4 linked regions of the Danio rerio genome follow. The protein of the gene in region 1 purifies or fractionates together with the protein of each later gene. This does not show direct contact. Links are inferred from orthologs where the notes say so. Each region holds a gene or a part of one and is shown in the gene's direction. Other genes may lie near its edges. The genes, in order: exosc4, exosc10, hbs1l and mphosph6.

What was found.
Region 2: the proteins of exosc4 (region 1) and exosc10 purify together in Homo sapiens (affinity purification with mass spectrometry; 9 studies listed by BioGRID and IntAct, with this or other methods). This does not show direct contact. The link is inferred for Danio rerio from reciprocal best matches to the Homo sapiens genes EXOSC4 and EXOSC10.
Region 3: the proteins of exosc4 (region 1) and hbs1l purify together in Homo sapiens (affinity purification with mass spectrometry; 3 studies listed by BioGRID and IntAct, with this or other methods). This does not show direct contact. The link is inferred for Danio rerio from reciprocal best matches to the Homo sapiens genes EXOSC4 and HBS1L.
Region 4: the proteins of exosc4 (region 1) and mphosph6 purify together in Homo sapiens (affinity purification with mass spectrometry; 7 studies listed by BioGRID and IntAct, with this or other methods). This does not show direct contact. The link is inferred for Danio rerio from reciprocal best matches to the Homo sapiens genes EXOSC4 and MPHOSPH6.

The regions. Positions count from the first base shown.
Region 1 is NC_133177.1:2,086,031-2,094,609, forward strand, and holds the end of exosc4 (exosome complex component RRP41), read left to right. Parts: intron 1-1,359; coding exon 1,360-1,566; intron 1,567-4,155; coding exon 4,156-4,515; 3' UTR 4,516-5,343; downstream 5,344-8,579. Other genes in the region: bcl10 (B-cell lymphoma/leukemia 10), read left to right, coding at 6,914-6,964. UniProt on the Homo sapiens protein: Non-catalytic component of the RNA exosome complex which has 3'->5' exoribonuclease activity and participates in a multitude of cellular RNA processing and degradation events.
Region 2 is NC_133198.1:16,321,700-16,329,968, forward strand, and holds part of exosc10 (exosome complex component 10), read left to right. Parts: intron 1-407; coding exon 408-516; intron 517-621; coding exon 622-697; intron 698-2,307; coding exon 2,308-2,418; intron 2,419-2,498; coding exon 2,499-2,642; intron 2,643-4,121; coding exon 4,122-4,312; intron 4,313-6,341; coding exon 6,342-6,498; intron 6,499-7,325; coding exon 7,326-7,474; exon of another isoform or gene 7,475-7,790; intron 7,791-7,872; coding exon 7,873-7,923; intron 7,924-8,016; exon of another isoform or gene 8,017-8,080; coding exon 8,081-8,192; intron 8,193-8,269. UniProt on the Homo sapiens protein: Catalytic component of the RNA exosome complex which has 3'->5' exoribonuclease activity and participates in a multitude of cellular RNA processing and degradation events.
Region 3 is NC_133198.1:34,709,433-34,716,910, reverse strand, and holds the end of hbs1l (HBS1-like protein), read left to right. Parts: intron 1-40; coding exon 41-145; intron 146-2,659; coding exon 2,660-2,750; intron 2,751-2,925; coding exon 2,926-3,034; intron 3,035-3,158; coding exon 3,159-3,259; intron 3,260-5,390; coding exon 5,391-5,535; intron 5,536-5,626; coding exon 5,627-5,638; 3' UTR 5,639-6,995; downstream 6,996-7,478. UniProt on the Homo sapiens protein: GTPase component of the Pelota-HBS1L complex, a complex that recognizes stalled ribosomes and triggers the No-Go Decay (NGD) pathway.
Region 4 is NC_133200.1:38,535,636-38,543,412, reverse strand, and holds the end of mphosph6 (M-phase phosphoprotein 6), read left to right. Parts: exon of another isoform or gene 1-944; intron 945-2,136; exon of another isoform or gene 2,137-2,188; coding exon of another isoform or gene 2,189-2,235; coding exon 2,236-2,326; intron 2,327-2,681; coding exon 2,682-2,791; intron 2,792-3,487; coding exon 3,488-3,629; 3' UTR 3,630-4,328; downstream 4,329-7,777. Other genes in the region: hsd17b2 (17-beta-hydroxysteroid dehydrogenase type 2), read right to left, coding at 5,901-6,247, 7,691-7,777. UniProt on the Homo sapiens protein: RNA-binding protein that associates with the RNA exosome complex. Involved in the 3'-processing of the 7S pre-RNA to the mature 5.8S rRNA and play a role in recruiting the RNA exosome complex to pre-rRNA; this function may include C1D.

The DNA.
Region 1 (8,579 bases):
CTGTGTTATTTTACCGTGACAAAATGAGTTCAGCAGTAAACTACAGTTTCTGACATACATGATCCTGGTGGAACACTGTTTATTCGCTAAGTTCAGGGCTTTTTTCGGGCTTTATTAGTTTGCTGATACACGCCTAGCCACCCAGATAGCAAAACACAGTTCCGGCTAGATTCTCGCCTGCCGGAGACTTATCTCTTAGAGCTCAGACTGACTAATGTTACCTCTGCTGGACCTACTCCGGATGCCTGGACTCACTACCCAATTCCAGCCCGAGTCAATCGAGCCAGATGCGGCGGCCGAGCGAGCCGGCGCTGCCGCATGTGAGCCGGAATCAGCCCGCGACGCCGCGAGTAAGTTATGTGTTGCGGCCTGGAGCTGGCGCGATTGAATATATAAAACCCTCATATTTGTTAACGTTATTACATCCATTTGTGTTGATATGACAGCAAACGCACGCTGAGCAGTTCGGGGGGCGTGGTTGATTTTACATAAAGCGTTTGGTTGGAAGCTCGACTCCGCTCATTTTCGCGGCTCCTCCTCTGGCTCCATCAGACAGTCCTTCTGCGCATGTCTGGCTCCAATTTCAGCAGTCTTTTGCGACAGTTTGTGCCCGTCAAGCAGGCGTTTTGCCCTCAAGGCGTTCAATGGGAAAAAGGGCTGTCGCGTCGTCCATATTTTTTACAGTCATTGCAAAAAACACATAAATCTCACAGACATCATCAGAATGTATTATGATGTATTTAACCAATAACTGTATACCCTGCTGAAAAATCCAGCTTAAACCAGCCTAGGATGGTTGGCTGGATTTAACTGGTCGACCAGGCTGGTTTTAGTGGGTTTTTGGCCACTTCCAGCCATTTCCAGCCTGGTCTTAGCTAGGGCTGCTCGATTTTGGAAAAAATCATAATCACGATTATTTTGGTCATAATTGTAATCACGATTATTCAAAACGATTATCAGTTGAAGTCAAAATTATTAGCACTTTATCCTAGGCTGGTTCAAGCTGGATTTTTCAGCAGGACTATATATGAAACTGGGAATATTTTCTCTGTCAGTGGTCAGAATGTCAGTGGGATCTCATTTGTTATTATTTTTAAAATAAATTAAAACAAGAACAACACATTTCCGTATGTTTTTAAGTATTCGTGGATTCAATATAATAATATAATTCTTAATTAGTTAAACTGTCTAATATAATTGATTAAAATGGTGCTGTGAATAATAGACAATAATTATTACAAAACACTCAGGCCAGAATCTCTGCAGTAACGTTGTCCAACGTGTCGGTTATGTGTAACATCCAATATTTTATCATCGTTTAACTGAATAACATGTTGGAGTTCATCTTTGTCCCTGTAGATTCGAGGCTCTCGCAGTAAATCCTTGCATGATCGCGCCATCATCAACTGTCAGTACAGCATGGCCACGTTCAGCACGGCGGAGAGGAAGAGACGTCCACACGGAGACCGGAAGTCCAGCGAGATGAGCCTCCACCTCAAACAGACCTTTGAGGCTGCGGTGCTCACTGAGCTCTACCCACGCTCACAAATCGACATCTACGTCAAGGTACATGGACTTCTTTACGTTCATGCCGTTTATCATCCATCCACTCACCTGCCCAATTTTGCATCCACCAATCTCTGCATCAGTCGTTGATCTATTCTTAAATGCCCCCATGCATCTGTGCTTTCATTCATCCATCACCGTAAATCATATTGTATATTGATACTGAGTGCACTTTGGATGTTTTTAAAAACGTATACCAAATCATCCACACATGCATCCATCTGTGCATCCATCCATGCATAAGTTAATTCACATATTTGTACACATCTTAACATCCAGTGATCCATGCATGAATCGATCCGTCCATCATCATTCAAGCACATCCGTCCAAGCCTTCATCTGTTCATCCACTCATCCATCTGCTCAGTTGGTCATATGTCCAACCATACATCCTCCCTGGATTCTATCTGGAAATTCATCCATCCACCCACACCACTATCAATCCATGCATTTATTCAGCCATCAATCCATGCATCCACCCAGTTATCCATCCCTTCATGCATCCGCCCAACTATCTATCCATTCATCCATCCACCCACCCAACCATAAAATCACCAAGCTATCAATCCTACCCTTCATCTACCCACCCAACAGTCCATCCACCCACCCAACAATCCATTCATGCATCCATCCACCCAACAGTCGATCCAACCATTCATCCACCCAACTGTCCATGCATCCACATAAATATCCATCCATCCATGTATACACCCCACTGTCAATCAACTCATCCACCCACCCAACTATCGATCCAACCATTCATCCACCCAATTAATTATCCATCCATGCATTTACCCACCCAACAGTCCATCCATCTATGCATTCCCCAACTATTCATTCATCCAGCATACACCCACCTACCCATCCATCCACGTACCCAACTATCCATCTATCTATCCATCCACCCAACTATCCATCCACGCACCCAGTTATCCATCCGTCTACCCACCCAACTCCATTCATGCACCCACCCAACTATTCATCCATCCGACTTTCCATCCTCCATCTGACTATCCATCATCCATCCGACTATTCATCCATCCAACCACCAACTTTCCATCCCACCAACCACCTAACTCCATCCATGCACCCATCCAACTATCTTTCCATCCAGCATACACCCACCTTCCTATCCATCCACATACCCAACTATCCATCTATCCATCCATCCACGCACCCAATTATTCATCCATCCACCCACCTAACTCTATTCATGCACCCAACTATCCAACTATCCACCAACCCAAATTCATTTGTGCACCCACCCAACTATCCATCCATGCACCCACCCAACTATCCATCCATCTATCCACCCAACTATCCATTCAACTACCCATCCATCCATCCATCCATCTCTGCATCCATCCACCCAACTATCCATCCATACACCCACCCAACTATCCATTCACCCATCCAACTCCATTCATGCACCCACCCAACTATACATCCAACCACCCAACTATACATCCAACCACCCACTCAACTCCATCCATGGACCCACCCAACTATCCATCATACATGCATCCTGCATTCATCCACCTAACTACCCATCCATCCACACACCCAATTATTCATCCATCCACCCACCTAACTCTATTCATGCACCCACCCAACTATCCAACTATCCACCAACCCAAATCCATTTGTGCACCCACCCAACTATCCATACATCCAACTATCCATCCATCCATCTGACTATTCATCCATCCGACTATTCATCCATTTATCCACCCGACTATTCATCCATCCATCCACCCAACTATCCATCCCAACAACCAACTAACTCCATCCATGCACCCACCCAACTATCCATCCATCTATCCACCCAACTACCCATTCGTCTATCCATTCAACTACCCATTCATCCATCCATCTCTGCATCCATCCACCGAACTATCCATCCACACACCTACTCCCTATCCATTCACCCATCCAACTCCATTCATGCACCCACCCAACTATACATCCAACCACCCAACTATACATTCATCCATCCATCCACCCAACTATCAATCCAACCACCCACTCAACTCTACCATGGACCCACCCAACTATCCAACATACATGCATCCATCTATCTTTGCATTCATCCACCCAACTACCCATCCGTCCAACCATCCATCCACGCACCCAACTATCCATCTATCTACCCAACGCTATTCATGCACCCACCCAACTATCAATCCATTCATGCAACTATCCATCCATCCACGCACCCACCCAACTATCTATCCATCTACCCAACGCTATTCCTGCACCCACCCAACTATCCATTCATAAATGCAACTATCCATCCATCCACCCACCGACTCCATCCAAGGATCCACCCAACTATCCATTCGTCCTCCACCCAATTACCCAGCCATCCACCCACAATCCATCAATCCATCCATCCATGCATGCATATTGGCTTTAAATTATTGTGATAATTTTTTCTGTTGAACGTAAGAGCCAGATCAAACTATAACTCATATTATTACAGTTGCAGTACATGACAAGATTCCAAAGACACTTTAAATACTATTACAATTCACATTACATGTAACTGACTACAACAGCACCATGTCTTTGATTTGTCCTGCGCTGTAGATCCTGCAGGCGGACGGTGGAAACTACAGCGCGTGTGTCAATGCTGCTACATTGGCTCTAGTGGACGCTGGGATCCCCATGCGCGATTATGTGTGTGCGTGCAGCGCTGGGTTTGTGGAGGACACCCCGCTGGCAGATCTGTGTCATGCAGAGGAGAGCGGTGGAGGAACAGCGCTGGCTCTGGCTTTGCTGCCTCGTAGTGGAAATATTGCCCTGTTGCAAATGGACGCCCGGCTCCATCAGGACCACCTGGACACACTGATGGAGGCGGCCATGACGGCGTGCAAAGAGTTCAGTAAAGTTCTAGACAGTGTCGTACGGCAGCATCTAGAGGAGGTTTCAGATCTGACCAGAGATTGAGATGGAGATTTAATGGACATCTATGGAGTCAGATCAGTGTCAAAAATAATACATTTACAAAATATAATTTGCTTAAATATGATTCAGAAATACACAAATCCAATTCATTTGGTGAAAATATTATATATGATATTCACTGGTGAATTCATGAACTGTGTGTTGCGTTTATGAATAGTGTTTTGATTTTATGAATTGGATTATGTAATTGTGAATTGTGATGTATGAACTTTTAGTAAATTAATTATTTTTGAGACTGATCTGACTCCATAGGAAATGCTCTATTAATTTGTTATTCATTTAATCTTTGAAGCATGCGCTTGGACTGAAAAAAAAAAACAGATTTGATCGACATGTATGGAGTTAGATCAGTCTCAGAAATAACACATTTACAAAATATAATTCACAAGTTTAAATATAATTAAAAAATACACAAATCCAGTTCATTTGGCGAAAATATTTATGATTTTTACTTGTGAATCTATAAACTGTGTGTTGTATTTATGAATTGTGTTTTGAATTTACGAACTTAATTTTATAAATGTGAATTGCGCTATGCATGTATGAATATCATTTCATAAATGTATTATTTTTGAGACTGATCTGACTCCATAGGAAATGCTTTAGTCATTTATTCTTCATTTTAGTGTCTGAAGCATGCGCTTGGACTGAAAAACACACAGAATTGATAGACACAGAAAAAAATAAGTTTATATATCAGCTTATCCAGAAGAAATGCCACCTAAAAAGCGCTGAACACATTTTGTTATAATAATGTCCTCTGTTGTGAGAGAGTTGTAATAAAACAATGGTATGTTTTTAACAAATGAACACTTTTCCTTTTGTGTTTTATCAAATTAACCATTATTTAATCAGATTTAGTACTCCTAATAAACAGTGGGGATCGAAAGTTTGGGCGCCCCAGGTAAAAATTTGAATTAATGTGCATAAAGAAGCCACGACAAGATGGAAAAATCTCCAAAAGGCTTTAAATTACAGATTAGACATTTTTTTAATGTGTCAAAAAAGTTAAACTTTATTTCCATCATTTACACTTTCAAAATAACAGAAAATAAAAAAAAAAACATTCTGGGAACGTTCTCTGTAGGTTTTTTTTTTTTTTTTGGTAACCAAAATATAACCTTCCCAGAACGTTCTCTGCAGGCTATTTTCAATGGTTAATTTATTACCTACAGAGAACCTTCCCAGAACATTCCCTCTAGGTTTTATTTAGGTTTTTTTCATAACCTTGAGAGAACCTTCCCAGAACGTTCATTGTAGGTTAATTTTGGGATCTATTTTATAACCAAAAGAGAACCTTCTCAGAACGTTTTTTTGTTGATTATAATATCTTGAACTGCCGCCTTTGGCAAGTATCACAGCTTGTAAATGCTTTTTGTACAATTTTAAGTTTACAGTTTACATTTCAGATATAACTTTGTTTCAAATGTTACACTCTAAAAAAACGTTGAGTTATTTATTTAACCCAATAATTAAGTTAAACATATTTGGTGCTTTGTTGGGTTATTTTAACCTTTATTATGTTATTTATTAGTAACTCAACCAGTTGGGTTAAATAGTATGTGCTTTGTTGGGTTATTTTTAACCTTTATTATGTTATTTAATAGTAACTCAACCAGTTGGGTTAAATAGTATGTACTTTGTTGGGTTATTTATATCATAACTCAACCAGTTGGGTTAGAATTTTTAATTTCAACAGTCAACTGATTTAACTGACACAGAACAGCTGTATTAATATGTGCGCTTAATGTTGTTTTTGCATTCTAAAGTTTATTTAAGCTCTTAACGCAATAATATTGTTGTCTTTAGCACCCAGCGGAGACATTTATTTATTTACACTATCATAATTATAAAATTAATAGTAGTAATAGTAATAGAGTAATACCAGAATGAAAAAAAAACATGTATTTAAAATAACCCAATGCATTGAGTTAAAATACCCCATAGTTGGGTTTAATGTTGGGGTATTTTTAACCCAACTATTTTATCAGAGTATGAAAAATGCACAAATACAATCCCAATACAGTAAAAAGAATTAAATTGGAAAACACATGTAGGGGTATATACATCATCACAAATTAAAGGAAAATATTACATAATTTACAAATTTTACAAGTTCTCCCCTGTAAAATGATGACGTGATGCTGGGTTATGGCGTCATTCACAGAAAGTATGTAGGCTATCAATAAGGAAGTTAAAGCGCCGGTAGTTCCCCTTTACTATATGAGAACTACGAGTGGATCCAACGTGTGCTAACAAGTTCGTGTCTGGACATTTTGGCTGATTTCTGGTCGCCGATGTGGAATTTGAAGCACCGTTTTCTTACCGGAACGAGTTAAAAACTGAACAGTAGTGAAAAACAACAAAACGAAAAGAGAGGATGGATGTTACTCACCTGACGGAGGACGAAATGGCCGATATAAAGAAGGAAGTGAGTAAAACGAAACAAAACGCGTTAATGAAATCGAGAATCTATTAATCAGATAATGCCTTCGTAAAAGTAGAAGTGAAAGCGCTGAGGGGCACTGACCACAAACCTGATCGATGCAACCAAACGTTTATCAGGTGTAAAAACCTGAAAGCAAATGATTTCCAAATGAGTTCGTCAAGTTTTTATACTCCGACTTCACTTTATTAGAGTGTGAACTGCTTTATGAAGTACCTAAGACGAGCATATTAATCATATTGGTCTACGAGATTAAATAAACCCACATTAAAACATACTACAGTGGACTAACTTAATTCTGGCAAATATTAGTGTTTATGAACAATGCTAAAGTAGGCTAACGTTACTTGAATTAATCTGTTGTGGTAATTTTGTTGTTGTTATGGTAATACAACAGTATAAACATGTCACAATACTGTAATACATACAACTATACAGTTTACACATAATAGTAGCTTACAATACTAATGTAACACTAATAACACACTGCTAACGTATACTACAGTATTTATAACAGCTTATGAGTTCAATATTGATAAGTAAAATTCATTTATAAAGAGTTCACTAAAGAGTTTAATACACTTAACTATAGTATAGTTCAAAAACATTACTTTTCCAGCATATGTTTTACGCAGCGGATGCCCTTCCAGTACTGGGAAGTATATATATATATATATATATATATATATATATATATATATATATATATATATATATATATATATATTTTTTTTTTTTTTTTCCTTCAGCTTAGTCTCTATTTCAGAGGTCGCCACACAGGTTTCACGCAGCGGATGTCCTTCCAGTATTGGGAAACTTGTAATATATATATATATATATATATATATATATATATATATATATATATATATATATATATATATATATATATATATATATATATATATATATACACAGTTGAAGTCAGAATTATTAGCCCCCTTAATTATTAGCGCCCCTGTTTATTTTTTTTCCCAATTTCTGTTTAATGAAGGGAAGATTGTTTCATCACATTTCTAAACATAATAGTTTTAAAAACTTATTTCTAATAACGAATTTATTTTCTCTTTGATGACAGTAAATAATATTTTAATTAATATTTTAATATTTCAAGACACTTCTATACAGCTTAAAGTGAAATTTAAAGGCTTAATTGGGTTGATGTGGTGAATTTTAAGGTAAAGGTAATTTTGTCCCAAAATGTTTTTTAAAAAATTAATAACTGTTTTTAATCTTGCCAAAATAAAATAAATAAGACTTTCTCTAGAAGAAAAAATATTATCAGACATACTGTGAAAATTTCCTTGCTCTGTTAAACATCATTTGGGAAATATTTAAAAAAATAAAATAAAATCAAAAGGTGGCTAATAATTCTGACTTATATATGTGTGTGTGTATTCTTTTTAAATACTATATATAACTATTGCACTTCAATACACTACAGTTTACAAATTTATACATACACTGCTAACGTATACTACTGTATTTATTACAGATTATAAGTTTAATGTTGATAAGCAGCATTCATTACAAAGAGTTTGCTATACCGTTTAATATACGGTTCAAAAACACTATTTACTAAATATATTTATTTATATAA
Region 2 (8,269 bases), on another chromosome or scaffold:
ATTATATTTAAATAAGTGTGATGATAAACCAGCAGATTTGACCACATTTTAAATCATCTAAAATGTTGTTTTGGTCATTCTAAAATCCCTCAGCCAAAGTCTGTCATCTAAGTCTATTGGTATTATTAGTTCATTATGTTTTGTCTTTGTCTTGAGGCACAATTAATTTATTTTATAGAAAAAAATGCATTTCACTCTGTCTCACTCAATTGAAATAGTGTTTTATTAGCAAATTTATTTGGATGGAAACCTAGCTAATGTAAGCTTACACATTCTTTAAACAACCATTGCAATGTTGTTTTGGATGATAAATATCGCACACCCCTAGGGAAAACTATAAAAATAAAAAGTAATGTATATTAAAAATAATAAAGCAAACACTAAACTCTAACCAAATGTGTGACCAGATTTTGCCGACAAGCACATTCGCAAGGAGAGGCCGGAGGATCTAGATGTCCCTGCTGCTCTGGCAGATTTTATTCATCAGCAGAGGACAAAAGAGCACGTGGACGACATGTAAGATGCGTTTAAGGGATTTATTCAATGCCTCTGTTACTTACCTTGCATCAGTGCTAATTTTGTTCTTCTTTGTAATAAATTAGTTGTAATGCTGTTTTCCAGGTTTTCCCACCCATATCAGTATGAATTGGACCATCTGGTCATGCCAGAGAATCTGAAGTGTAAACCTGAAGTCCAGGTCAAAGCCTTATTCAGCTTTTCTCCCCTGACATTTATGTTCTTTTAACACTGCAAAAAACTGTTTTTGTCTATTTTTAGTCCAAATATCTAAAAAGTCTTAAAATTAAGAAGCATTTTCTAGACAAACAGAACATATATTATATCATTTTTAAGAAATATTATGCCAAAATCAAGTGAGTTTTCCTTAAAACCAGGCAAATGAATCCACCAATGGCGTAAGCTAAATCATTTTGTTTTTGCTTTGAAATAATATTTTTTTCTGCTACCCATATAGGCAGATTATTTTGCTTGTTATAAGGAACAGTTCACTTAATTTTGGCATATTATGTCTTAAAGGAGTGGTCCAGAGTGTAATTTAAGCCTTGGTTGTGTTCATAAGATGCAAAGCAATGTGTGCTCATGTTTCCTTTGTAGATAATCACATAATTTTTTTTCGTGTATCTTACTTAAAATATATACTGCTACTCTGCTAACATGAAAACGACTATCATATTAATAGTTTCTCCACAAGAGGCTCTGATTGGTCATCTTACATAATGTGCTGTGTAAATGCTGTCAGTCAGTGTAGCTGTAAGCCATATCAGACAGGAGGATACAGCTGAACCCCATCCCTGCTCCAAAATAAAACCTGAAAACTGTCTTTCATATATATATTCAGATTATGTGAATGTTTAAGTAATATGAAATGTTCACATATCTCGTGAGATGTAGTATGCACGGAAAGCGGCCGCATAGAGAGACCCTGCAGCGCAGCTGAAGTTTGTGGGTGTTTACAGCGGTTTGATGGATAAATATGAATTTGTAGCTAAATTGTTAGTAGTGCCAATCAGCATTTTCCGTAGTTTACATCCTTGTTTATGTTATTGCTACATTGTACTGTTTACGCTAGAAACTGTGCATGTAATAGATTAATTTTAACAAATAAAAACACAGGTTTTGGCTCAGTCCATAGCTTTTGCTATTATGGCTGGAGCTGTTTCTTTAAGGAGTTTTAAGCCGAATCCATCACTGAACTGGGAGAGATTCTTGAAGCTGTCCTTTGTCAAATGCTAGCTATATATTTTTTATGATTCTCTGGAACATGATTAAAATTAAACTGTAAGCACTTCTCTCTTTGTGTCATGTCATTTAGAAGCCTAAACACAGAAACAGAACAAGCTTTGCGGAAATAACAGTGTTTGGACAGCATTTTAGCTTTCTCCGCTATAACATTACAACACCTCTGGCCATGCCCCTTCACTGCACGGGGTGTGTGTAACCTAAAGGGTTTAAGATCTCATTAAACCAGAAGTATTTTTTGTAATCCCCAAACTTTGTTTGCTGTAGACTTTGCTAAGCTAACTCTGTAAAAGCCAATGTCTTTCTTTATATTGAACTTTGAGCATATTACATTTAGGGATGTTGTTTATGCTCACACAGTTACATTACACATCAACTAAAGTTTAAAATATTATATTGTAGTAGACCATCCCTTTAAAGCAAGACAATATGTTTTACTTGTCTTGAAAATGCTTCTTGGTTTAATCGTTTTTAGATATTTGAACTAGAAACAAGGCAAAAAAGCATTTTTGTTTGCAGTGAAATAATTGTGTTTTCTTTGTGTTTTAGATGTATAAACCTATTGACGAAACCCCTTGTCAGTTTATCAGTACTTTAGAAGACCTCGTTGCTTTGAATGAGAAATTGGCCAAGACCACTGAGTTCGCTGTGGATCTGGAGGTATGGGAAATTTCTATGATGCTGTTTAGTCTTCTGGATTACTTGTTCTTTTTTAATTTGCCCAAATTCTTTGTCCACAGCATCATTCCTACAGAAGCTTTCTGGGAATCACATGTTTGATGCAGATTTCCACACGAGAGGAGGATTTCATCATAGACACGCTAGAGCTACGCAGCGAGATGTACATCTTAAACGAGACTTTCACAGACCCTGCTATTGTGAAGGTGATGGACTTATAATATTACGCTTTTCTTTTTAAAGTTACTATAAGATCTGTACATGTTGATGACAGTTTTCATTAAAAGTTTTTTGTTCATTAATAACTTTCAGGATTTACTAAAGACATGCAGTTAAAGATCAGGAATTACAAGCAATAGACAATTTTTTTGGTGACCATATGCATTGTGTTTTTTAAGTCAGTTTTTTTTTTCAGCCAGAATATGGAAAGAGAGCATTCAAATGAATGATGAAGCAGTTTATTAAAGGCATAGCTCATCTAAAACTAAAAATTCTGCCATCATTTACTTGCACGCTTCACTTGTGACACCTGTTTTAGTTTTTTCTTCTGCTGAACACAAGTTGATATTTTAAAAATGTTGGAAACCTTTAACCATTGACTTCCACAGTTTAGTTTTTTGGTGCTATTTATTTTCTTCTTTCCTTTTATGTCCACTTAATTGTGATGTTAGGAGTTGCGCATATGGATCCATTACCAAGCCACATTACTTTTATATATGCTAGTCTTAGTAGATTGATGTTCATTGTGGAAAAGAGCTGCCACATCTATTAGTACTGGACACATAACAACACCGCTATATCCATGGAACACGAAATTGCAGACTCTTTGAACGAGGAAATAATTCACAGCCCAGACGGCCTGTTAATTTAATATTAGCTGGAACACCTGAAGGATGGTTACAGCGTGTTGCAATGTCAGCTGTCCAAAAGTCTACTTTAGAAAGTCAACTTTTTCTTTAATTTTTTGGACTTGTTTGAAAGCTTTTCGAAGTGGCAGTGTAGTTGTTTACATTGCATTAGCAAGGCAGCTACTGATGGGATTTGTGTAATGTTTCAAAAAGCTTTGTTGCAGTGGAAAATGAAATCGTATTCGTGCTGTCTGGCCCGGTTTGGCACGGAATGGAACAGTTCAGCATAAAAAACAATTCAGAATGATAGTGGAAAAGTTGCTTTTGTTTAGAATAATTGCATCGATCGGTGTGCACTCACTTAATATAACACACTCACAGCAATACTGTAATACCAATTGGTAAGTGTGATCGCAAGTAATATTGACTTTATCTAACAGTTCATTTCATGCTCAACATTGTCAATTTTTCTGTGTAGCTAATGAAAATGTTTCCAAAAGACCCTGGAGCTAAATATTTGGGTGCCTCAGAGCAACACCACATTGTTTGTCATATTCCTCAATGATTAATTTTGAACAAATTATCTGAGTCCATGATCACTCAGTAAGCCCGAGATTTGTTGCAACCTATTGGCAATTGAAGTATCATTTATTTAACACATTCGATGAATCATAATTTAATTATAAAAAAAAAATATCAAGATAATACTTTTGCCAGTATTCCACACAAACACCTATGCCGGTGCTCTTTAATTTCCGCATTGTGAGTGTCCATCCACTTTCATTCTCCTTAGTATAATAAATGTGTCACTATATTGTGAATACCTTGTTTCTGCAGGTGTTTCATGGGGCCGACTCTGATATTGAGTGGCTGCAGAAGGACTTTGGGCTTTATGTGGTCAACATGTTTGACACTCATCATGCTGCACGCTGTCTTAACCTCGGCCGCAACTCTCTTGATCATCTCCTGAAAGTATACTGTGACGTGAGCTCTGATAAACGCTACCAGCTGGCAGACTGGAGGATACGGTACATGCAACTCATTATGATCAGCACGATACACTTCCTATTTTATTTTTGCAAGTAATTTATGCGAAACTAAGTTTACGCCGTTTCTGTTTGTTTGATGTAAAAAAAAAAAAAAAAAAAAAAAAAAACTTTTAGATTGCATAAGTTTTTGCATTTAGGTATGGCAAATGAAATAGTCAACAAATCAAGAAAATAATTCTTAAAAATCTATTCGTATCTTCTCTAATTTGTAAATGGGGATTTGTTTGGATGCCAAAATGTGTCAGATGCCAAAACAACCTTTATAAAAAATGATTTCCACTTGGAATTATGATATTCTATCTTAAAGCATTAATTGATACATAATTTGATATTTGCAAATGTTACAATAATTAAGATATTTTTGTGTGGACATAAAAGGATTGTTGTAACAGTATATCAACATATTAAATAAATTAGCACTACATTTAACTTTGCATGTTTTATGACTATTTTTAACATTGTTTAAGTTCAGTTTAAAAAGACAGTGCTAAATATTTTGTCCAGTGAAGATGTTTTTTTTAGTAGACATATGGTGGGTTATTAAACACTTTATGAAACTGTTAATATAATTTTCCTGTGATACTGTAATATTTCTCTAGAGGTCAGTATAGCTAAAATAATGTGCTAACATTTATAGTTCTTATTAAGACCCCATTAATTCAACTGGGTAGAGTTGCACCAGCTGTTCAAAAAATCTTTCTTAAACTGGAACGTAAAGTCCACACTAGGGGCTTAGTAACTACTAGCTAGTTTGCAACTAAATTTTTTCTTACTTTGGTTGCACCACTTGTTCTCAAGGTAAACCGTAGTTAGGTCATTTGCTCTCTGTAAAGTCATGCGTAGTCGCATTGAATGACGTAATATCCAATAGAAAGCATTTAAATCGTTAAACTGCATAATTCGGCAACTAATGCATCTATATAGAACTTTTCTATGAAAATGAAATGACATTACATTTTTATAGTAAATTACAGTCAGTCATTAATAACAGGTTATGCATATACCTGAATGCACGCGAAATACACATGAAGTTTTTTATATTCTTCACATGAAAGAGAAAAGAGCAGGAAGAATGACTCGGTCATGAGGTTTTTGTTTCAACTGATGGATACAACAAACACAAAAGACTCCTTAAAAGAAAATTAAACTCTTCTTTCACAAACAAAAAAAAAGTGTGAGATTTGGGAAGAAATGAAGGCTGTGAGTAGAGGGAGGTCATTCTGCATTATCATCGCGAGCTCCTCTATGTAAACTAATATCGTCTCTTTTCTACTGTTAAACAAGGGGGAGGCTGCTGTAAATATTTAGTTGAAACGTAGCGCTATGTTTAAAGTAAGTTCAGTAGTGCAACACACAAATATTTAGTAGTGCATAAATTGTAACTTGGTGTCCCTTTAAGTCACAAATAGGCTACGTTTTAACTTGCGCATTGCTGGTGCAACAGGCCCCTGACTGTTTTACAGCTAAGTCTTAATATTGTTGAGTTAAAAACGACAAGAAAGTTAATTACATTTTTAATCGAAATTGATAATTTTTATATAGTCAGCAGCTCTGTTTTTGCTAGTAATGGAAAATGCAACTTTGTTTCTATTAAATCTTAATGGCACAAAATGCCTTTAAATCTTATTAATAGACTATTATTTTCAAAGAGTAAGATGTTTATGAGCTGCATTTAAAATTGTAGATAATCTCCACAAAGCTGAGTGCTTAATTTCTGCATCTTTTGGTTCAAAAAAAGCACTTTTCATTGTTTTCAAGCTCACTATAGTTCTCTCCACTGGCTAATTTCAATTTTAAACACACACTAAAAGTAATAGCAATCATTTTGGCCTTTAGATAACCCTGTTTGGTGGTCCTTTTATGTGCATTCAGAGTGCTGATAGGCTCATGAAAATAACCTTAGTCAAGTTAGAGTTTGATTTTTGTACAGAGGTACATGTTGTTTTTTTTAAATAAAAATTTGAACACCACATAATGACAGAATTAAGTGTATGTATTATGCCTGTAGGCCGTTGCCAGATGAGATGTTGAAGTATGCTCAGGCTGACACTCACTACCTGCTGTACGTGTATGATCGGGTCAGAGCAGATCTGTTTGATGGGGGCAACGGGCAGGCCACCCTCATTCAGCAGGTCTGGACTAAAAGCAGAGACCTTTCGCTCAAGGTATGGACACATTTCAACATAAACTTAAAGTGCCTCGTTATGCTTTTCCTGGTATTACTCTTCAAGTAATGTTCATTTAAATTAAAAATCAAATAAAGTGTTTTTAGTGTAAACATTTGTCATTTCTATTCATTTATTTTGTATTCTCCTAATAAAATAGTAAGCTATGTAATATGTTTGAACTGTTAATATTCAGCTTTCCACATAAATAACACGTATAACATCACATCCATCCATCCAAAATAACAAATCAAAATAACAAAAGTCATAATGAAGGACATAATGTAACATGCGAGGATGTAATGTTTTTTTATATATTAATATTGACATGAAATTGCCACCAGTTGCTGATATGGCAATAAAGAAACAAATTTAAACTTTATGTAAAGTTCAGAGTCATATGTGCAGAAATAGCTAATTACAAAAGCTAAATAATCATAGATTATGGTCGGTAAGTGGTCAACAAATCTCAACAGACTGGCTCATTTAACCAATCAGAGCAGGAAACACTATGAGAAAGGCAGGGTGTAACAAGAACGGACCTATGAGGCTATTATTCCAGACACTGTGAGATAAGAGTCAATGCTTTTCTGACATTATGAGAATTTTTTTTTTTTTTTTTTTACTTAGAATTAAAGCCATTAAATAAGATTAATAAAAGTAGTATTTCTAAAATGGCATAATAAAGGCTCTTTAAATACACCAAATAAACCCCATTTCAAATATTCTCTATTAAACACTTTGAATCGGTTCAGATGAATCTGTTCAAAGATACAGGTTCAAAATGGTGTTTTCTGAATATTGTGTCTTTCAACCATTTTCTTTAGAAATATGTGAAGCCTATTTTTACGGAGGACTCATACATGGAGTTGTACCGCAAGCAGAAGAAGAGCTTTAACACACAGCAGCTGGCAGCCTTCAGACTGATGTACGCCTGGAGAGACAAACTGGCCCGAGAAGAAGACGAGAGCACTGGGTAATGGCCAAACCTCACTCAGTGCATGGCACTACCGACCAGGGCATCTGATTTATGAATTTAACAGCCTTCCTAAAAGTAAATGTACAACAGGTTAAATTTAAATGAATTATGATTTATATATATATATATGTATATATATATATATGTACATATATATATATATATATATATATATATATATATATATATATATATATATATATATATATATATATATATATATATATATATATATATGTATATTTTTATTATTTATATATATTTTTTTGTGGCTTATTTAAGTGAAATATGTTTACTTGGCTTACTTCGTTTTGTGCGCAAGCCACATTTCTAAATAAGACCACAGGATATTTTGTTTCATTGACTTGAGCCTTAAATGTGTTCCTGCTCCTCAGGTACATCTTACCAAACCACATGATGATGAAAATTGCAGATGAGCTTCCAAAGTAAGTTTTTAAAGTGGGCAAAATACATATTTAAACTGTACAGTTTAGTTTAACAAAAAATGCTAAGAGCAAAAAATTATTTGTTCCTTTAAGTGCTTGGTGTGGAAACCCTTAATAATGTGTGGGTGGGTGTGTGTGTGTGTGTGTTTGACTGCAGGGAGCCTCAGGGCATCATCGCATGCTGTAACCCCACTCCACCACTAGTGCGTCAGCAGATCAACGAGCTTCATCAGCTCATCAAACAGGCCAGAGAGACTCCGTTACTGAAGGTTTGTACATGTATGTATTAGGGATGGGACAGTTTATGAAAAAACTAAACAAACACTTCTACTGTGATGGTTCAGTG
Region 3 (7,478 bases), on another chromosome or scaffold:
TTTTTGATGGCGATGAGCTGAAGAATCTCACTGTTTTCAGATCAGGGCTCTGGGTTCTGTGTGACTGGAAAGATTGAGGCTGGCTACATTCAGACTGGAGATAAAGTGCTTGCCATGCCGCCTAATGAGACCTGCACTGTTAAAGGTAAACACAAAAGCTTCCACTTTCTAGAAACATGCATTGCTTTAGGGTGTTAGGCAGCAGCGCCCTCCTCTGGTGCTTTCGTGAAAGACCAGTCGTGTGAAAGAAGAAATGGATGTTAATCATAGAGCATGCAAAATATACACTCACCGGCCACTTTATTAGGTGCACCTTACTGGACCTGGGTTGGATTCCTTTTTACCCTCAGAACTGCCTTTATCCTTTGTGGCATAGATTCAACAAGGTTTCTGGAATTATTCCGTAGAGATTTTGGTCCATATTGGCATGATAGCATCACACAGTTCGTGCAGATTTGTCGGCTGCACATTCATGCGGTGAATTTCCCATTCCACCATGTCCCTAAGGTGCTCTATTGGATTACTATCTGGTGATTGAGGAGGCCATTTGAGTACAGTAAACTCCTTGTCATGTTCAAAAAACCAGTCTGAGATGATGGTAAGATGGGTACATACTGTGGTCATAAAGGGATGGACATGGTCAGCAACAATATTCACTGGCTATGGCGTTGACCCAAAGTGGTTATTTGAGTTACTGTTGGCTGTCTATCAGCTGGAACCAGTCTGGCCATTCTCCTCTGACCTCTGGCATCAACAAGGCATTTGCTCCCACAGAACTGCAGCTTATTGAATATTTTCTCTTTTTTAGATGATTTTCTGTAAACCCTAGAGATGGTTGTGCTTGAAAATCCCAGTAGATCAGCAGTTTCTGAAAAACTCAGACCAGCCCGTCTGGCAACAACAATCATGCTACATTCAAAATCATTTGCTGCCATGTGATTGACTGATTAAAAATTTGCATTAACGAGCAGTTGGAAGTGGCCGGTGAGTGTATATGGCCAGTGTACATGTTTATCTGTTTAATGCACTGAATAACTTAATAAAAAATATTTTTTTTTTAATTTAGCACACTGATTTTTGCTAATTGAAAACAGATACATATTATTAAACATCTCTGTGGAACAATATAGTAACACATGGCACATGGGTAACTGATTGTAATAATTAATATATATGTTAATTAATATATGTTAGTAAAATATGTGCTATAAAATAAATATTCAAAAATAAGATTTGTATTAAAATATTTATATATATTTTACAATTTTATTTTTATAATTTAACGTGAATTAAATAAATGCTTTTTATATTAATATTTGTAATGGTGTAATAGTTAAACTCACACACATTATACAGTTGAAGTCAGAATTATTAGCCCCTCTTTGAATTTTTTTTTCTTTTTTAAATATTTCCCAAATGATGCTTAACAAAGCACGGAAATTTTTACTGTATGTCTGATAATATTTTTTCTTCTGGAGAAAGTCTTATTAGTTTTATTTTTGCTAGAATAAAAGCTGTTTTTTATTTTTTTAAAACATTTTTGGGACAAAATTATTAGCCCCTTTAGGCTATATTTTTTTTCTCAATAGTCTACAGAACAAACCACCATTATACAATAACTTGCCTAATTACCCTAACCTGCCTAGTTAACCTGATTAACCTTGTTAAGCCTTTAAATGTCACTTTAAGCTGTATAGAAGTGTCTTGAAAAATATCTAGTAAAATATTATTTACTGTCATCATGGCAAAGATAAAATTAATCAGTTATTAGAAATGATTTATTAAAACTATTATGTTTAGAAATGTGTTGAAAAAAATCTCTCCATTAAACAGAAATTGGGGGAAAAAATAATCAATCAAATATCATCATAAAAAAATTATTGTAAAAAAGAGTTATTAGTTACTGAAATCTAGTTGAGACAGATTCGCAATAATGACTGAATCTTTTAACAAATTTTGTTACTCGCTTTTTTCTTTTTATTTCTCTCCTACTAAGATTGCAAAACTAACGTTATGACACAGTCTTTATAAACTTTAGGACTAAATAAAAAGTCATTGCAGTAGTTTTTATATTGCTTAGTTTTGTTGTTCTGGAAATTGAGGAAATATACTGTGTAGTTAATCATGAATAATCAATACTTAAAAAAATACTTAAATCGATACATATTAAATTTAAGAATTTAACATATTAATTTCAACTAGATTCTCTTGGAATCTTAAAACCAGAATAATAAACTGGTAACACTTTATAATAAGCTTATTAAGGTGTTTTTGTTTGTGCAATTAAACAAACAATATGCAATACATTACATTTCTTACATTCATCTTTGTTGATGTTAGTTAATGAAAATAAAGCTGTTTTTTGTTAAGCTGTTTGTTAGAACTCATGTTAAGAAGTGTGCATTTGGAATTAATAATGCATTGTTGATTAATAAATGCTCTGTGTTGTTCAGTGTTAGTTCATGTTAGTAAATACTTCACATTAGTTAATGAAACCTTAATGCAAAATTTAAATAAGTGTTTATTGAGCACCAGATTAAAAAAATATAAATATGATTTATGATGGATTTTGTAACGCTAAAGGCTAGAGTGGTGCTACACTCATTTTTGGTTATTTTTTTTTATTAATGCAATCTTAATGGATTGTAATTCTATCTAGGGATCAGTCTTCATGATGAAGCATTAGACTGGGCAGCGGCTGGTGATCATGTCAGTCTGACTGTAACAGGCATGGACATCATCAAAATAAAGTGAGTGTGTGTAGAAACACTAGCGTCGAAAGCAATCCCTTCCTTAACGTATATTATAACAGTTCGGTTATATAATGTTTTGATTATGTAATGTTGCGTAATACATGATTAAAAACTTTCTACGGACACGGTTGATTCTGTGTAATCATGTATGTTTTCTTGCTTCTTTCTCTAGTGTTGGATGTGTATTCTGTGATCCCAAAGAGCCCATTAGAGCCTGCACGCGATTCAGAGCAAGAATCCTCCTCTTTAATATTGAACTTCCCATCACTCAAGGCTTCCCCGTGAGAAAACATTTCATCTCTCAGGCTTTTTAGATATAAATATCTTTGCATGTTTCTTGTGGGTTCTTGTGCAAGTGTGTTTGCTAATATTTGTGTATTTGGTGTGTGTGTGTCTGATTGGCAGGTCCTGTTGCATTATCAGACTGTAAGTGAACCGGCCACCATTAGGAAGTTAGTCAGTGTATTACACAAGAGCAGTGGAGAAGTTCTCAAGAAAAAACCAAAGTAAGTGGACGGATGATTCTAGAATCTAAAATGTTACATGATTTTAAGGAACAGTTTCTTTTTAAAGGGTTTTTAACAGCGCAGAAAAATGACATTGTGCATATGTATATCATATTGTGGAGAAGCCAACGCTACATATGTATTTTTTTTTGTATCATGCCGCTTGGTTTTTCCATGCATGCCTTTTGCAGCAGAAAGTTGTGACTTGTGGCCAAGAATGGTTAACTATACTCAGAATTTGAACACACAAACGCCTGGGAAGTAGTTGAGGATTCTGTGCATTGCTCAAGGGAATCACCTCAACCATGGGATTAAGGGTGGTGAGATTGCTGGGTATTTACTCCCAGCACCTTCAGTCTTCACAATTAATAAGCTTTCTATCAAAGGGGGCTTTCGTGTGATAACCACATACATTTAAGCCATTGTTTGTTGAAATACCTTTTTTTCCCGCAGTACCTTTAAAATCGCATTTACACTTCCACGTTACATAACAATGAAAATGTAAAACGTTTCAAAACAAAAACAAAAAAACACATCAGACAAATTTTGGACAAATCAGGTAGTGCAGCAACTTCAGAGCACTTGTGCAAGCTGCTCATACATCATATTCACAATGCAATTATTCTGCATGGGTATAGTAAGGAAGTTTAACAATGGACCCTTTTCACATTTCCGGGTTTCTCAGTAGCAGAATTTGTCATAGTTGGGTAAACTTAAGGTGCATTGAATGGGAGAGTACAGCAAACATATATTTTTTTACAATCCTATTTGCTGAAATAACAAAATAAAAAACTCAACAATGGTGTTATCAAGACTTTCAGAAAACGGAAATAAAATCGGTGAGACCTAAAATGTCAAATTTACTCTCCTGCCCCATTCACTCTGCATAACAAACGCCTCACACAAGTGGTAATTTGTTTTCTGTAATTTGATTCAAAGATGATATAATACATATAAATCTACATACTTTTCTTTTTAATTAAATATTAAAACTTTAGAGGATTTTAGATGCTAATGACGGTTAAATGCATCATAACAGTCTTGTGAAAAAGGGTCCATAATTACAAATTACAGTTATATTATTTAGGGCTTATCTTTTTAAAATGTATCCCATGATTTAGTGGTGTAATGGATCACAAATCTCACTGTTCGCATTAGATCATTTATCATTCACGTTGCGTGGATTTGAATTAAAATCACGATCTTTTAAATTTAATAGTGCAGCTTAAACTGAATGCATTAATGCAGGCTAAAGAAGTGTCAGAAAACACCTTTAATTAATAACCTAAGAAAGCATTTAGGTAGGTCCCACCACAACTTTTTCAGTCATCATTATATTTTACAGGGATGCCATTGTTTTCATACACGTAATTTGAATGACGCTGGGGGCGATCGCTCTGCCATAGTTATAAATGTTGGATCAACTTACAAAAAAATTAAAAATGTTAATGCTCAGGTCACGTATGTTTCGAACTTTGTGTCAACCTTAATTCGTTACAGCCCTACCATGATTTAATTTCTTCAAACAAAATGCATGTTTCTAGTTTACTTTCTATGAACCTTCCTGTTATCAGTTGAAAGCAGATAGGTTCATCTTGTTTAAACTTTATCTTTTGAGGTGCAGTTTTTGGTGCATTAGCAACATCAGGACTGCACTTTTCTGTCTCTTGAGTGTGAAATGTATGCACAGTTAAAATGAATGCTGAAGCACCTTGAAGAGAGTCAGACTATATACAGTATTGTCCTGCTGGTGGCACTAATGCACCAAAAAAAATTATGGAATAATTAACATTTTTGAATGAACTAACCCTTTAACTGGCATCACGGTGGTGCAGTGGGTGGCCTCACAGCAAGAAGGTTGCTGCTTCGAGCCCCATGTTTGCGTGGGTTTTCCCCACAGTCCAAAGACATGCACTATAGGTGAATTGGGGAAGCTGTCCCTAGTGTATGTGTGTGAATGAAAGTGTACGGGTGTTTCCCAGTGATGGGTTGCAGCTGGAAGGGCATCCACTGTGTAAAACATATGCTGGATGAGTTGGTTGATCATTCCGCTGTGGCACACCTTGATTAATAAAGGGACTAAGCTGAAAAGAAAATGAATGAATGAACTAACCCTTTAACTGTCGTGCAGGTGTTTGAGTAAAGGACAGAATGCAGTGGTGGAGATTCAGACACAGAGACCTGTGGCTATGGAGCTTTATAAGGACTATAAAGAACTGGGGCGGTTCATGCTGAGATACGTGGGCTCCACCATCGCTGCAGGAGTGGTCACAGAGGTAAAACTAAAACACCAAATTGTTAAAAGCGTACTTGATTGTACATCGTAAGATGTGATGCTTGTTAATGCCAATGTTTGTATTGTTCTAGATCAAAGAGTAAGAGCCTGTTGGAACTGGATCCTTCAGATTGTACTGACAGAAACCATCAGACTGAAGTGCAATTTCTCCCTCAAAACGTACACAAACATGAAGTGAATACACAAAGATGCCCAGCAGGCAAGCTAACAGTGAATCTAGCCTCAGCTCACGTTACATTTCACAGGCCTCGGGAGGGGAGAGTGAATGTTGGTGTTTGTTTTCTTGTAGTCATTTTTGTCTTGTTTTCAGTACAAATAAAAAAAGCATTCTTAAATCATTATGCAGTTGTTTGAGAGGCAAATTATTAAAGTTCTGAAAGATCTGTCACAATTTTGTTTGTTAAAAACATCTGCCACTAAAATCTAAATAATAAACAAGGGATTTTTCTGATCAACCCCACGTTAATATTTCCTTTGTTTTTGAAGCTTAAAGTAATTTTATTTTGTTACGTTTTAAAAAAATAAACATTACTCTCAATAAATATATCTTGATTTAAGTATGTTTAGATGTTTGTACTGGCAAACAAGACTAAAAAAAAATGAAAAAGAAAATATCTTTTGATAAGTGTAAGGGAGAGAATGCTCTTTGTCTTCCTCCTCATCTTTGCAATAACAACTATAGTAATTAATCCCAAAATTCGGAATTATTTACATTCAAACCCATTTAACAACATATAAAACCACAATGTTTACCTTTAATTTACATTAGGTTGCTTCCTTTTGTTGATTTGCATCAGAAATGGAACTCTTTTAATTTTATTACTTGATATTTTATTTGGATTTTTGGCTATAATATAGCAGCACATAATTGCCATTTATATTTATTCTTCCTCCAAATAAGAGGTTTCAAGGTTAATTAGCAGAAATGGAACAGGACAGTGTGAATGAAACCTTCCCTTCAGTTTGCTGCTACTTTGTGTTTTCTTGATCATTAATGCGTCAGGGGAAAACAGGAGGATTGAAAACCAGGGAACAATTGGATATGCCGTGTATGCGGGAGAAACTCATCTGTGTGTCTGTAGTCAAACAGTAGTCACTTTAAGGACCTGATGGACACGACTCATCTGTTTTGACTTGATTATTAAGGGGTTTTAATTTAAGAGTTTTGTTTGGGTGTGTCGAAGCTGAAGATGTCTGATCCGGGGAACGCTACATCATGCGAAAAATAACAAATAAATATTGATCACTGTGGAAAACATCATTCTGTGTGTTGTTGGGCCAATAAACAAATACCTATTATTTATTGATTTTTTTTTATATTTATTTTGCCTTTTCGGAGAGTGTTTATTGTTAGACTCTAACAAAAGCATTTTCTATGCACTGTTAAACTCAACATTCAACTTTATCAAATGAAATAAAATGAGTGCAGTTAACTCAAAATTAACTGTAAGTTAATTCTACTCATTTGAAAAGAGTTTTGAACTCAGTGTTGAAGGTAATGAGTTAATTAAATACCTCATTACTTGAATGTAGTAAGTTCACAGTACTCGTATAGATTAGTTTTTTAACTTAAATGTTTTTTTTTCACCCTATTTGCATGCAATGGACAAACAGTTGCAGCCAAATTAAACTTTAGTGACAAGGCAGCACTAACAATCCAGTTTACTCTTCTAAGTGCCTTGCACGCTGGCCCTGGGTGTTCAAGGTGAACTTATTGTCAAGCCCTGATATTGTACACAAATATCACTTAAAACAAAGAAAGGGAACACACCCAAAAATCTAATTATTTTACTTTTTCTTTTTTTTTTCAAGTGTAAACCAATTGCCTTAAAATCAACAAGTTAACTTTAAAAAAGTGATTAAACCTGTTGTAATCTGAAACAGTTAGGTTAACTTGACCTTATTTTTTTATAGTTAAGCACA
Region 4 (7,777 bases), on another chromosome or scaffold:
AGGAAAAACAAATACTATGAAAGTCAATAGTTACCAGTTTGCAACACGCTTTAAAACATTTTCTTTAGTGCAGTTAAAAATTATTTAATCCCAAAGGTTTAGAATATTGACCAAAAGCAAGCAAACAAATAAATAAAATTCAGACATTTCCAATATGTTATATCTAGATCAATGGATCCAAAACCACCAGTAGGTGGCGACAAATACCTGACTGATTCAATAGTGTTTCTTCCCATACTGATAAACTTCCGGTGAACAGTTAATGTGACTTATTTCTAAGGGTGTCACGATCCTAAAGATTCTAAAGGCACGATTCGATTTTCGATTATGAATGATTAATTAATGACCAATTAATTATTTGTAGCCTACCGTTTAAACTACCTGACCTGCATGGTCTTTGTTTTACCCATAAACAAATCATACAGTAAATGAATAAAGGCAAGATGCACACATAATTACCTCCTGTCAATCACTTTTTCTGCGGGACTCGTGAATAGGCAGTGATCTGTGTCATTATAATGGCGTCTGTAAAAAAGACGCACAACCAACAGGAACCAGCCAACAGTGTCTGAGGTGTTCGCTAAAATGACAAAGTACAAGTGAGTGAAAGATTGAAGCAGTCCTCTGACTGCCTGGACCTGCTGTCTCGAGCGCATGGCTGTGTGTGCATCTGTGTCTGTGTGGTCACGTGATGTGCGTTTTCAGAGGTAATGAGGAAGGAGGGCTGCTCAGAAATGCTACACGCCACTGTGGATGTCAAATCGTTGTTGTTCTAAAATGCCATTTAAAAACAAAGACAGTGTAAACAGGGCCTGAGTGTGAACTTTTCGCGAGCGGATTTGCAACGGGGGCGGGCGGAGGATCGCGATGCTGGTGTTGTCTATCGGACGAACCATACGTAATACGTATATAGCAGAGCTTGCAAAACTGTGTTTTTTTTTTTTGTCGACAACACGAACGTTGTCAACATAACTCACTGGAAATCCAAAATGCTTAAACACCGGCGACTTCATTGAAAGAGGAGAGGGTTTAAGCTCTGTCGACGGGTCTCCTGCTTCTGCAGTTTAACAAGCACTTCAACAAGCCTGTTTTTTTCCCGCTTGGCAAGCCAAGCTGACGTGACATCGGGGCGTGGCAGCATCGACGATTCTATTTTGTAATTCGATAATCGAAATTGAGCATAAATTTCGATCGATTTCGATTAAGAATCGAAATCGTGACACCCCTACTTATTTCCATTCCTTTTACAGCATCTATGTTGTACTGCAAATAAAATACAATCAGTTAAATAGACCCAAGCATTTATTTAGTTGATCAAGCGCAAAACGAGATCAAAAGTTGTTTACTCGCACACGTCAGAATCAGCAGGCTAGCGCAGAAGCTCCATTTAACATACTGGGGTAAAATAAATGCTCATATTATAAAGACACGACGGGGGAAATGTAAATTAATGTAGTGTTTCTTGTACAATCTGAGACCCGCTTATATCGTATATCAATTAGGCATTGAAGATGGTTGATTTTTAAAGAAAACAGGCCTTTTTGTAACTGCATACAGTAGGACTGTGCGATAAATCGAATCACAATTTGAAATGTTGCGATTAGCTTATCACAAGAGGCTGCGATATGACATAGATTTGTATTTAATTTCCCACGCCCCGAGCAAATGCATGACTGCAGTCTGCGTGTGACAAGTCTTACAAGCCAATTAAGTGTGCACGCTTTCATCCTGCCCAATCAGAATTGCACTGCCGGATTATGGGGAACGCCCACAATAAAACAAACAAACAGATGAGTGGGATGATGGCGTCTTCCGCATTAATAGACTAAATATTATTAAAGAAAAAAACGCACGTCAGTGATATGGGAATATTTTGTTCACAGACACCAAACAAAAAAAGGTTATTTGTAAGAGCTGCCGCAGGATTGTTGCAGGCATGAGGAAATACAACCAGTACCTAAAATGTCTACAATATTAAATTGCAAATCAAATCTAAATATCTGTTAAAAAAATTTTGCAATTAAGATATTTTCCCCAAATTGCACAGCCCTAGCATACAGCGTTTGAACCAGGACACTTTAAAATGAAAGTCCTAATGCATGTACCCCATTAAAAATGATTCTAGTTCTAATGCAGTCTGACATTAGCAAATATTCGTTGCCTTATGGATATCTGATGGTTTATCAAAATGTCTCTTAAATTGACAAAATTACAAGGTATTTTTAACTTTGCCAGAAACCACATCATCGAGGAGAGAAGTTTCGTTCCCTGTGAGGATCTGGTTTACGGCAGAATGTCATTCAAAGGCTTCAATCCTGACGTGGAGGTACAGCTTTCATCCGTTTACAGCCGTTTGCTTCCGTTTTGTTAACTGTTCTCAATTATTGTGTTCACGTTATTGGAGCATAATCTGAAGAATAAGCTAAAGGCACAATATGTATGATTTTATTTGTATTAACATATTCAAAAGCCACTTGAACAGTTTATTATATCTTTATTTTTCACTCAGTCATCAAAACACACCTTTGTTTGTTGTGAATACACGCCCTCTAGTGGCTAAATTTACATACTGTGCCTTTAACAATGAGCTGAAAATGCACGTCTTGCTCTAATTATAGCCACTGATAGCCACCTGTAATCTAAAGTGGGGTTTATTCATCACAAGTCTGAATCTGTTGCAGAAATTAATGTTACTAATGAACGCACCAAGAGAGGAAGAGGATGAAGAAGAGGAGGACGAGAGCATGAACAAAATGGAAACCGATATTACGGATGAAGAGATGGCCAAAAGGTGAGCAAGGACAAATACATCTGTAATCTACACATCTGTTATATATATATACGAGGATAGTGATGAAATGAAGCGTCTAAACAATTTTACCAATTACTTCGCTAAAGCAATTCGAAACCGCACATGCTAGAAACCCCTGCTGGTCAACACTCAAACAAAAGATGCATTAGAATTGACTCCCAAACATATTAAAATTGAAAGTTTAACCTATAAATAAACTTGGCTCGTCATCTAAGATCATTAAATGTTAAGTCTCTGCATAATGTTCTTTCATTTAGATGTTTTCAAGGCTTATATATTGCTTGTTAAACTGCTAAACAGGCCAGGAGGAGACTATTAGCTACTTTTAACCATTACTCCTTTTCATTTTATACACATCTCCTTAAAATATTTAACAAAATTTGTAAAACTAATCCGAGATCAATCAGTGAAACCTGTTCAGTGATTGGCCACTGGGGGGCGACCTGAATGAATCTGCGTGATTCTTGTAGATTTTATATTGCACAGATCGCCCCCTTGTGGGGAAGCAATTTCGAAACCATATTGACCATAACGAAGCTCAATTTGAATGAAATCCTGTGACCTTGCCAATTGGAAATGCGCACCGAAACCACTGGTTCGAAACAAAATTGTAATGGTTTCGAATGTGGACATCACCAGCAGATGAAAACCTTGATTTTTGCTTTTGTTTTACAGGTATCAAAGTTTGGTTGAGAGCATGAGGAAAAAGTTCGCCAAGAAAAGAGATCGCAGTGCTGTCTCAAACAAAGAGGATGTCAACTGCAACGTCACTGATGATATTAGACCCAAACGAGCTTTCATGAAGCCACAGGACTGAGACATTTTAAATCTGTAAATGCTTTATTTTTTATGCAATGGACTTCTTTTTTTATTAGTAGTATTTTTTTCTGTTTGGTAACAACAAATGCATTGTTAAAAGACTGTCTTTTATGGGAAAAGCACTAGTGGATGGTGCACTAAGGGGTTTTTTGACAATTAAATGTACCATCGTTGAAAAGCGTAGTAGATCCTGACCAGAGTTTCTTAACCAATTCTTTAAAAAATGATGTGTAGAACTTCCATGTTGTTTTTAAATAATCATTAAGAGAGAATCACATTAATGACACTTAACCAATATGCTGTTTAGACGATATGCTGTAGAGTGAAATCTGCTCTCTCACAGAAACAATATATTCATGAGTCAGAAAGTCAGATTGATGAGATTGTGTTGGAAATGTTAAAAAAAGGTTATTCATAGTGTAAAAAAGACTGCAGAACTTACTATAGCATAATTCAACATTCGAACAGTTATTTAATATTGACATTGCACGACTATCTGGGGTCAAAATCCATTGCTGCTGTGTTCACATTGTATAATGGATCAGTGACAGGAAATTACGCACAGCATGACTTTACAACAGGGAAAAAAAAACGCTGATAACTCTTTCTCCCCAATCACCCCAATGACATACAGTGCATTTAGACAATATTGATAGCGCTTTTTCCACTTTTTATGTCACAGCCTTATGCAAAAATGAATTAAATCAATTTATTTCCTCAACATTCTACTCACAATCCCCCAGAATGACAATGTGAAAAAGTTTTTAAAATTGTTGCAAATTTATTGAAAATAAAAAAGCTGTAAAATCACGTGTACATCAGTATTCACAGCCTTTCGCTGAACCTCGGCCATGTAAGCTGAGTGATCGGGGGAGAATGGCCTTAGTCAGGGAGGTGATCAATAACCCGATGGTCACTCTGTCTGAGCTCCAGCGTTCTTCTGTGGAGAGAAGAGAACCTTACAGAAGGACAACTATCTGTGCAGCAATCCACCAATCAGGCCTGTATGGTAGAGTGACCAGACGGAAGACACTCCCCGCCTGGAGTTTACCAATGTGAAGGACTCTCAGAGCATCAGAAACTAAACTCTCTGCTCTGAGACTAAAATTGAACGTCATGCTGTGGGGATGTGTTTCAGCAGCAGGAACTGGAAGACTAGTCAGGATAGAGGGAAAGATGAATGCAGCGATGTACAGAGACATCCTGAATGAAGACCTGCAGAGTGCTCTTGACTGTGGTGACGGTTCATCTTCCAGCAGGATAGTGACCCAAAGCACACCGCCAAAATATCAATGGAGCGGCTTCACAACAACTCCGTGAATCTCCTTGAGTGGCCCAGCCAGAGCCCAGACATAAATCCTATTGAACATCTCTGGAGAGATCTGAAAATGGCTGTACACCGTCACTTCCCATCCAACCTGATAGAGCTTGAGAGATACTGCAAAGGGGAATGGAAAATTCCCAAAGACAGGTGTGCAGAGCTTGTGGCGTCATATTCAGAAAGACTTGAGGCTGTAATCACTGCTAAATGGGCATCAACAAAGTATTGAGCAAAGGCTGTGAATACTGATGTACATCTGAATTTTCAGCTTTTTATTTTTAATAAATTTACAACAATTTCAAAAACTCTCACATTGTCATGATGGGGGATTGTGTGTAGAATGTTGAGGAAATCAATTTAATCTATTTTGGAATAAGGCTGTGATATAAGCATGTGGAAAAAGTGAAGCGCTATCAATCCTCTCTGGATGCACTGTATATAAGTGGCTGTAGGTCCATATCTCCTCCCCAAATATCCCTCTACCCTAAATCTCGCTTGTTTCCTTTTTTTCAGTCAGAATTAATATAATGCAGTCGGCGCCGGTAGCCTAGTGGTGCTGTGCGCTGACATATAGCACCAGTGTGCTCGTGGCGACCCGGGTTCGATTCCCGTCTCGGGGTCCTTTGCCGATCCTTTTCCTCTCTGCTCCCAGTGCTTTCCTGTCTGAATTCTCTACTGTCCTATCAAAAATAAAGGTGAAAAACCCCTAAAAAATCATTATAAAAAAAAAAGAATGAATATAATGCAGCAGGAATCTCAGATTATGCCTCTGATAATTCACACTGTGATCATTATAAGCTCTAATGTGCCTCAGATTTCAGCCGATTGTCTGTGATTTCACTGAAGCCATCAGCGAATAAACAGCATTTCATACGTTTGCATTTCCAACCCCTCCTAAAAGATCCCTATCAAGTACACGACTGTGCGAAACGCCTAAAAGCCGCCCGTTTAATGTGGAATCGCTGTGGCGAGTTTTGCAGGCTGGACGCCGCTCATAAACATCCCGGAGAAGATTTTATCGGACAGTGCCGTCGGACAGTATCTGTACAGTAAAGACAGCACCCACGCTCCGGCCCCGGGGTAGTAGAAGTGTTTCGGGTTGGAGGACAGTATCGCGTGCTTTAAAGACTGCAGAAACGGCCCCTTGTCTTCACTTGATGCTAAAGACATATCCAGCAGCCGCTTCTGCATGGAGTGAATGTATTCTTCACCATACGAGTCCTTCACCTCTTCTGATAAACCACTGAGGATCTGCTCCTGAGCGCGCTCCCACTGCTCGCTGCTGCCCAGGATATCTGCAAACGTCAGCCAGGTTGACTTTAGTGTAGTGGTTAATAAATTATGACTAGATAAATGGGTCATAACTCACCCCAAATCAATAGGTTTGTTACGGTTTTATACAGAAACGGTTACAGCTACAATATAGACCTTTTTCTTGGAACGCATAATTACCCATGATGCTTTGCGTGTATGCGCAAGGAGAATGCGAAGAACTTCCGGTCGGCAGCTGATGCGTGTAAACGGTCACATTTGGACAGCTTTGAAACGATAGTTTTAATCTATTTTATCTGCTTTTATCCTCTTTGAACTAATACTGTTGTCCATCAGCAGCATCTCCTGGACTGATCATTTAAAGAAATGCGATCTAATAGGATGGAAAACAGCTGCTGTGAGGCGTTTCCCCTCGCTGTCAGACGGCATCTTCTGCAGTTTAGATGAAGCCTCGTCATTGCTAAAGTCAACATTTTCTCTTTATTTCAAATATATAACCAGCCCAAACTAATGTAGTTCACCAAAATGTTTGACACACACACGTAGCCTGTACTGTGCCACTGACACACTGATTTAATAACTGTGACAACGTGGAAATACAGGCTAGTGTCATTTCGAAATGACAGAAAAACACAAACCGTGGTGAAAACAACACACAAAATAAAACACAAACGGCTCGCGATTAGAATGAACAGCAAATCAGCAGCAGAGGATCAATAACAGACTTTTATTGCTCATTTTTGTAAATTGCACGACTTTCATACCTGTTAAGTTTCATGCCAGAACTCTAATGTGCTCTCTCTCTCTCTCTCTCTCTCTCTCTCTCTGTGTGTGTGTTAAAGAGCCGCTGAGCTGACAGGCTGACACTGTATTTCTGACAGCAGACACGTGAACTAGGAGAACGTTTTTCTCGTATTTCTGACGCGCTTGAACCACACGTGACAGATTATAACGGCTTTAACAGACACATTTCTAAGTTGTGTGTCACAAAAACACTCTGTTATCCATTACAAACGTTATTGAAACCCATTTTCGGAGCGCAAATGACCAGTTGTACACGCTGTGAACGGAAGTTTTTAGCATACTACCGGAAGACGCAGGTCGCTATTGCGCCCGCCATGCAGCAGCCATGAAAAAGGTCTATAGTGAAGGTCATTCCTATAAAACAATGGTCTGCTACAGAATATAAATGAAATGGGTAACAGATTTGTTCACAATTGTTCATTTACCTCTACTGGAATTTGGTATGAATTTGTCCCTAAAGAGCTCATGCATTTTAAGAGACAGATGAAATCAATAGCCAATAGTATCTGGCTGCAGACCTGCACATGCGATCAATAGTGATAGTGACGTCACTCTGAGGGGTAGAGGTGGGGTTTGGTGTATGCATTAACTTTACTGTTTGGGTTGTTTAATAGACGGCATTACAGCTCATTGGTGTGGATGCTAACATGGTTGATACTCACTGGTTCTGAAAGCTCCGGGCTGAACGATGATGACTCTGACACCCCAGCTGGACAGCTCTTGTCTGATCGCTCCGCTGTAAATATTCA